2 linked regions of the Tribolium castaneum genome follow. The protein of the gene in region 1 purifies or fractionates together with the protein of each later gene. This does not show direct contact. Links are inferred from orthologs where the notes say so. Each region holds a gene or a part of one and is shown in the gene's direction. Other genes may lie near its edges.

Region 1 (4,315 bases):
GAAATTTTCGACGCGGGGAGTCCTTTGGTGTCACGGACGAACTCCGTGAACAGGATGAGCCGAAATGAGAAAAACCAAAATTATCTCAACCCAAATTTTCGCTCAGTGTCGTGTCACGGCTCCTTTGAGTCGTTGCACAACGCCGGTGAAGACATCGCTTTTTATTGCCCATTCGCGCCGGGATGTACGTCCCTAATTAAAGGTTCGCATTTTCGTAATAATAAGCAGTTAGCTAAGTTTATGTCCACAGGAAAAAAAGTAATCGAGCACTTCCAGTTAAGCCACGACGGACCGTTAGTACACTATTTCAAATCGCAAATAACAATCGAGTTTAGCAAAATTTTGGAAGAGCAAGACTTGTGTTACGTTATCCAACTTCAGCAAAACACGTTTTTCCTCAAAATTGAGAACAGTTCCGAAAATGTACTTCTCTGGACTTGGGTTCTAGAAAACGGAAATGTTGCAAAAGAATTCGACATGCACGTCAAGGTGTTAATTGGGGAAACACACGACGTTATAATAAGTGTTAGAAATAACGTGTTTTCACTCAACTGCACTTCATACCAAGAGATAAAGGGGCTAAAAAAAGGTTTACTTGTTAATACTCGGGCCATAAATGGCGCGATAAATGATGTTATTTTTGATATAGCGATTTTAAAAAGTGACGTATGAGCTGTGATATTGTTTCTAATTTATAAATATTTATTTGGAGATATTGTTTGTTTGAATTCGTTAATAATAAAACGGTTTTTTCGACGCTGTTTTGCTTTTCTCTCCTTAAAACGCTCAATATTCCATCTATTAATCGAGATATGAACACTAGATCAGTAGACCAAATAACGGAGTTATGGTCTATTACAGTTACACCTATCATTTAGAAAAAATACGACGCTTGCTCATGGAAGGGACATGGGCGGATTTTTATATGCACCAGTTTTTATAACATGGGATTAGATGGGTGGAACAAAATTCGTTTCATGGGACATTCACGTAACAGCCACGTATTTCACAACCATTTACATATCACGCAGCTAATATTTATTGAATAATCTGCGTTAAAATATAAAAGTTATAATTAGAAAGGATCGGAATATTTAAAAGGCTCAAATTAGAGTGTGCGTTCTTTTGTAAAACCCCGCATTTTCAAGTTTATTCAAACGAATGAAGATAATAAACAAAGTAAAAGTTTATTTTATGTAAATTCTATTCCACTACATATTTATGCAAATCCAGGCCGAATTAATTAAATAACAAAATGTGAAATATGAACAAGCGGGACTGTACCACTTCGGGTGCGCACGTAACGCACTGTGAGTGGCACGAGACCATTCGAACAACTCGCCTCTTGCCTAGCTTACAATTTTTAATAATTGTTTTTAAACGAATCAATAAAATTTATTGAATTAATTTTTTGAAACATTCAAGTCAATGGCACAATAGCAAGTTTTGTTTTGTCACTTATTATTATAAAATTCCTGAAATATTTAAAATATTTCTCCTGGTGTTTTCGTTTTCCCCCAAGCCAGTTGGCAGTGAATTTCATCATCCGAAAAATTGAGGTTGTGTCGTTGCACGAGCATAATATGTGATATAATTTATTGAATTAGTGAAATAGCTCGCACCATGCCTATTCAAGAAATTCCCCGTGTGCCGGAAACCATAAATTTCCCATCCGAGGAAGAAAAAATCCTGAAATATTGGACGGAAATCGACGTGTTCCAAACATGCTTGAAACAGTCGAAGGGAAAGCCACGGTAACTTGGCATGGTTTCGAGTGAACGTGCCTTAGTTATTTTGTAGGTTTTCGTTCTATGACGGCCCGCCGTTTGCGACCGGGTTGCCCCATTATGGGCACATTCTGGCGGGGACCATCAAAGACGTGGTCACGCGTTATGCCCACCAGCAGGGCTTCCACGTGGAGAGGAGGTTCGGCTGGGACTGCCATGGGCTACCCGTGGAGTACGAGATTGACAAGACTTTTGATATTAAGGGCCCGGATGATGTAATGAAGATGGGCATTGACAAATACAACGCCGAGTGCCGCAAGATTGTCATGCGGTACGCCGACGAGTGGGAGAGGATCATTGGGCGCATTGGACGCTGGATTGGTAATCATTTGGACGAAAAGGCCAAACGTTTGATTGATAATTCCAGATTTTAAAAACGACTACAAGACGCTTTACCCGACTTTCATGGAGTCGGTTTGGTGGGTTTTCAAGCAATTGTACTTAAAGGGATTAGTTTATCAGGGCAATAAAGTAATGCCGTACTCGACGACGTGTAATACCCCCTTATCGAACTTCGAGTCGGGTCAGAATTACAAGGATGTTGTTGATCCCGCCGTCACCGTGAGCCTCCCGATCATCGGTCATAAGGACAATGCTGCGCTTTTAGTTTGGACAACGACTCCTTGGACCCTCCCTAGTAACCTAGCGGCGTGCGTAAACCCATCGCTTGAATACGTACTGTTTGAACAAATCAGCACCACCAAGCGCTACATCATGCTAGAGACTCGCATTGAAACAATTTTCCCAGCTGGGGATTATAAAATAATCCGGAAATTCCCCGGAAGCGAATTGAAGGGGCTGCGCTACGAACCAATTTTCCCCTACTTCGCCCACTTGAAAGACAAAGCTTTCCGGGTCTTGACAGACGACTACGTCACGTCTGAGTCGGGTACGGGTGTCGTGCACCAGGCACCGTACTTCGGGGAAGACGATTTCCGCGTCTGTCTCAACGCTGGGGTTATAACCAAGGACCAGGAACCCATCTGTCCCGTTGACGCCAGCGGCCGGTTCGTCAAACCTGTGGTGGAGTTCGAAGGGCTTTATGTCAAAGACGCCGACAAGAAAATCATCGCGGCTTTGAAAACCAACGGCCGGCTCGTGCACCAAACTCAAGTAATGTCCAAAGCGTTTGGAAGCACTAGCTAATTGTTGTTTCAGATCAAGCACAGTTACCCCTTCTGTTGGCGTTCCGACACCCCCTTGATCTACAAAGCGGTGCCGTCGTGGTTCGTCCGCGTGGAACACATGACCGAGGAGCTGCAAAAGGCCTGTGCGGACACCTACTGGGTGCCCGATTTCGTCAAAGACAAGCGTTTCGGTAACTGGCTGCGCGACGCCCGGGACTGGGCTATCAGTCGCAACCGGTATTTCGGCACCCCGATACCGATCTGGGCGTCGCCAAGCGGCAATGAGTTCGTCTGCGTTGGCAGTATCGCCGAACTCGAGCAACTAACGGGTCAGAAAATCACCGATTTGCATCGGGAAAGCATCGATCATCTTGAAATTCCCTCGAAAATTCCTGGAAATCCCCCGTTGAGACGCGTTCCTGAAGTTTTTGATTGTTGGTTCGAGTCGGGCTCTATGCCCTACGCCCAGAAACACTACCCGTTTGAGTTTAGTAAAGAGTTTGATGACTATTTCCCGGCGGATTTTATCGCCGAAGGGATCGACCAGACCAGGGGCTGGTTTTATACGCTTTTAGTCATCTCGACGGCTTTGTTCGGGAAAGCGCCGTACAAGAATTTGATCGCGAACGGGCTTGTGTTGGCCAGCGATGGGCAAAAGATGTCGAAGCGGAAAAAGAATTATCCGGACCCGTTGGAAATCGTTTCGAAGTATGGGGCGGACGCTTTGAGGCTTTATTTGATTAACTCGCCAGTGGTGCGTGCCGAAAACTTGCGGTTTAAGGAGGAAGGGGTTAGGGATATTCTTAAAGATGTGTTCCTGCCGTGGTACAATGCGTTCCGTTTCTTGTTACAAAATATTGAGAGTTTTGTACAAGACAACAATCAAGCGTTCTACTACACTGAAAATAGTGTCGCGCCTGAGAATATCATGGACAAGTGGATTCTTTCGTTCACTCAGTCGCTCCTAGAGTACGTCCGGAAGGAGATGCAACTTTACCACTTGTACAACGTTATTCCCAGGCTGACCAAGTTTATTGACTACTTAACCAATTGGTACGTGCGGATGAACCGGAAACGTCTCAAGGGTGAGGGCGGGTTCGACGATTGTAAAACAGCCCTACTGACGCTGTTCGAGGTTCTCCTAAACATTGTGAAAATGATGGCACCGTTCTCACCCTTCTTGGCCGAGACCATGTACCAATATTTGAAGAAGTTGATGAAGACTTCGGCCGATAGTGTTCACTATTTGATGTTACCGCAGCCGAATCATGCGTTGATCAACAAAGATATTGAGCGAGCCGTTGCCAGAATGCAAAGTGTGATAGAATTGGGGCGAGTCTTGCGCGACCGAAAAACAATACCGATCAAGTACCCGTTGCCGGAAGTTATAATTGTCCATCA
Region 2 (4,185 bases), on another chromosome or scaffold:
GGACCACTGGGGCCAAGACATTGCCTAAAATGGGGACTCTCAACGCAAGGATATTTGAGAGTACGGTACTTCAAGAAAACTACTAACATCAACCTACCTTAAAGAATTATTTCGAAAACACTGCAAGTTTGCACTTTTGTAGCAATTAGTTCGATATCAAATAGTTTAAAAACGCGGTTTTAGTGTAAACAAAACGCAAAGTAAATAAGAAAAAACAATGATAAAAAATCGTGTCATGTTTGAATGGAGTACAAATAAAAACGTGATAGAATACGTTTCAAAGCATTTATGTTACAAAAAACGAACAATTAGCATAGTCTTACCTCAACTTATTCCAATAAATCTATTCTGTGGACGCTAAAACCATAAAAAACGTTGTTTTTGAAACAAAGAAAAACCAACACTGGTAGAGAACGCCAATTAGTTAGAAAAAAACTTGAGATACCTGAATTGCTGTTTGAAATATTGGCAAAAAACAATAATTTATTAATTTTGCGGCTCATTCCTGTCAACCTGTTTCTTGTCAAGCAATTAACAAGGTTGCCAACACGGAACGAAAATCTCTAGTTTCCACCCCCGATCTGTCTAAAAGTGAGGTTATACAAATTCAAACAAAAAATGAGTTTAAATTTTTTCACAAAGAGTAGAAACCTGTTACAAAATGCGACCACTCTCGCCAGGTTTTATAGCACAAAACCGGCCGAAGAAATTAAAAAAATGGTCAACAATAACAAAGTTGTGGTTTTTATGAAGGGGGTTCCCGAACAGCCCCGGTGTGGCTTTAGCAATGCGGTTGTGCAAATTTTACGAATGCATGGGGTGCAGTATGACGCCCATGATGTCCTGTCTGATGAGTCGCTACGGCAGGGGATTAAGGATTTTTCAAATTGGCCCACAATACCACAGGTTTTTATCAACGGCGAATTTGTGGGAGGCTGTGATATAATGCTGCAAATGCACCAGTCGGGGGATCTGATCGAGGAGTTGGAGAAGGTTGGCATCAAAAGTGCGCTTTTGTTGGCGAAGGAAAAGGAAGATGCAGAAAAGAAATCTTAAATTAAGTGGAAGACACGAATCTAGGGACTGATTGCTGTATATAATAATTAGAATGTTATTTAATTCGTTTTTGTGTAGTTCTGTTCATTAATAAAAAAGCTATTTAGAAAAAATTGATAATTCATTACATAACCTCAAATCAACACCCTTAACGTTTTTTCCCTATTTAATTAAGTTCATGCAGTTTTTACAACGTCTAGCATAAATTCTGATTAACGCGATAAAGTAGAAATTATCAATTGTGCCGACGATTGCATCATTTTTTATGGCTTTACCTGGCAAAAAGTGAGGTTAACTCGCCCATGTGTTATGTCAACGTGTTCGTTCAGTGATTTTTTAATTTAAACAAAAAAAGAAGCTAAAAATGGTAATTGTAACACACAGTAGATTAACAATCGTTTAATGATAATTCTATAGACTGCAGTTGAGCGAAAGGGCACGTTCAAGGTAGAATATCTACAAAAAATCGAGCGTGAGGTTCAGGACAGATGGAAGAAAGAGAAATTGCACGAAATCGACGCGCCCAAACAGCCCCGAAAATCAGAAGATGATAAGTTTTTGTGCACTTTCCCATTTCCATACATGAACGGCCGTTTACACCTTGGCCATACGTTCTCTCTATCAAAGGCTGAATTTTCCGTCAGGTATCACAAACTGAAGGGGAAAAATGCGTTGTTTCCCTTCGGTTTTCACTGCACCGGAATGCCGATTAAAGCATGTGCTGATAAATTAAAACGCGAGATGGAAATGTTCGGGTACCCCCCTAAATTCCCAGTCGAGGAAGAAATAAAAGTTGAGGAGAATGATGACGTTGTTATTAAAGATAAGAGTAAAGGAAAAAAGGTAAATCGTTGCTAATTCACGCCAAATAATTGACACTTTCTTAATTAGAGCAAAGCAGTGGCTAAAGCGGGCGCTGCCAAATACCAGTGGCAGATTATGTACAGTTTAGGGCTCCAGGACGAGGAAATAAAAAAATTTGCGGACGCTGATTACTGGCTGGATTATTTCCCGCCCCTTGCCGTCCAGGACTTGGACCGATTTGGGGTTTACGTCGACTGGAGACGCACCTTCATAACCACCGACGTGAACCCCTTTTTCGATTCCTTCGTCCGTTGGCAATACATTCGTTTGAAAGAACGCAACAAAATTAAATTCGGTAAACGTTACACGATTTATTCACCTCGCGATGGCCAGCCGTGTATGGACCATGATAGGTCCACCGGCGAAGGGGTGGGTCCCCAGGAGTATACTTTAATTAAAATGAAGTTATTACCTCCATATCCGGCGAAATTGAGGTACAACAACTCGTAAAAATAGAGAGTAGCTTTATTATGCTTTTTAATTTGCAGTAAACTCGCCAATAAACCGGTTTATCTAGTAGCGGCGACTTTAAGGCCCGAGACAATGTACGGACAGACTAATTGTTGGGTCAGGCCTGATATGAAATATGCCGCAGTTGCGGTCAAATCTGGCGAAATTTTTATTTGCACCGAGCGCTCAGCTCGGAATATGAGCTATCAAGGGTTTACGGAGGTTGATGGGAAATTTGAGATTGTTGCGCATTTGGTGGGACAGGTAACTTTCGATTTTTTAAATTTTTTCCTACAGTTTAGGTTTAATCTAATTTTTTTGTGAGTTCTCTAAGATCCTAATAGTAAATTAAGTAAAATGAAAAATTATTAAATGGAAAAAAGTTGGTGGTGAGTGTCAGCCATTTGTAATTTGTAAATTCATTGGCACTTCTTAGATATTTTTTGAAGAGTAAATATACACTCATTGAGTATACGAGACATATGGTGGTTTTTCTTTACTTAAATAAAGTGAAAATCACTAATACCGCTTACTTTCGTCCCAAAATGACATGAGATAAGTCAAAATTCCCCCTTTTAGGCATATATAACTGAATATTTCTGCCGTGCTAAGCAAGAACGTCGTAACTGACTTTTTTGTCAAATTTGAGATAACACAAAATCTGAGATCAATAGTGCAATAACTTTGATTCTAAATAACTTTAATAGATATTATCCAGAAATTAATAAGACGAAATACGTAAATAAAATTAACGTATGTGGGGTTTGTGCAATATTACTTAGCAAGAAAGTCGTAACTATAAAATGTATATGAAACCCACTCATTAATGAATCAAAAATTGTATATTTTCTAAAATTAATCAAAAACATTAGGTACCAAGTTTGGTTGATTACCAAGTCGAATTACAATTAAAAAAACAAAAAAAAGTGTATGACTTTGACGATTTTGTCAATTCGGTTGGAAGGACGGGTACAAGAACTAAAATTAAACAAATGAAAATTGAAAACTTTTTCAGATGGCAAGACTACAATTCACAGTACAAATTGATCAAAATTATTAATCGACCTTACCTAAGCGACATGGTTAACCTTACGTTTGAACGAGGAAAAAAAACCATGAAATATAAATGCAGTTTTGATAATGGCTTTATAGAGTTAAATTTTCTAACATCAATAACATCATATTCAAAAAACCCACTCAAAAACACACAACAAATGGCATAGATACAGAAAGAAAACAGGAACTCTTAAAAAAATTTAAAAATATTCTACCAGAAAACCGATTGATTTTTTGGCAAAATTTGCTTTTATTTCAAAAGTAGCGTACGCTAGGTGTAATTTCTTGGGTACATTTTTTTATAAATTTCCTGTTGTTATGTATTATTTCATTTGTTTAAAGCCGTTAATAAATATTTTTGTAGTTACGACTTTTTTACTTAGTTACTTTTACTTAATTAAAAAAATAAATAAAAATTTAACGTCGTATGTGGAATAACAGCGATTTGGCAAAATAATGGATATAATTGCATACATATTTCCTTTTTACAAATAAATTGTTAGGTTGACTTCAACATTCCATGTTACTAGCATTTAAAATAACAGTGCACTCTGAAAATGTAGAAAACAAGACATAACTCAAGATTCATATAAAATCAGTTATGACGTTTTTGCTTAGCACGGCAGATTTTGTTTTGGAACAGAAGCTTATCTGAACTATACTTAATTAAAAAAATAATAACTGATCTTAATCTCCTTCGTTTTTGAGCGTTTCTGAAATTGATTTCAGTCCTTTTGGCACAAACACACTTATTTTTAC

What was found.
Region 2: the proteins of IleRS (region 1) and LeuRS purify together in Homo sapiens (affinity purification with mass spectrometry; 7 studies listed by BioGRID and IntAct, counting the BioPlex papers as one, with this or other methods). This does not show direct contact. The link is inferred for Tribolium castaneum from reciprocal best matches to the Homo sapiens genes IARS1 and LARS1.

Annotation. Positions count from the first base shown.
Region 1 is NC_087403.1:5,649,470-5,653,784, forward strand, and holds the start of IleRS (isoleucine--tRNA ligase, cytoplasmic), read left to right. Parts: upstream 1-1,505; 5' UTR 1,506-1,623; coding exon 1,624-1,754; intron 1,755-1,800; coding exon 1,801-2,108; intron 2,109-2,154; coding exon 2,155-2,900; intron 2,901-2,945; coding exon 2,946-4,315. Other genes in the region: uncharacterized protein LOC662426, read left to right, coding at 1-202, 251-672. UniProt on the Homo sapiens protein: Catalyzes the specific attachment of an amino acid to its cognate tRNA in a 2 step reaction: the amino acid (AA) is first activated by ATP to form AA-AMP and then transferred to the acceptor end of the tRNA.
Region 2 is NC_087402.1:9,359,302-9,363,486, forward strand, and holds the start of LeuRS (leucine--tRNA ligase, cytoplasmic), read left to right. Parts: upstream 1-1,300; 5' UTR 1,301-1,420; coding exon 1,421-1,423; intron 1,424-1,473; coding exon 1,474-1,899; intron 1,900-1,947; coding exon 1,948-2,354; intron 2,355-2,408; coding exon 2,409-2,634; intron 2,635-4,185. Other genes in the region: YLP motif-containing protein 1, read right to left, coding at 1-21; Grx5 (glutaredoxin-related protein 5, mitochondrial), read left to right, coding at 619-1,056. UniProt on the Homo sapiens protein: Aminoacyl-tRNA synthetase that catalyzes the specific attachment of leucine to its cognate tRNA (tRNA(Leu)).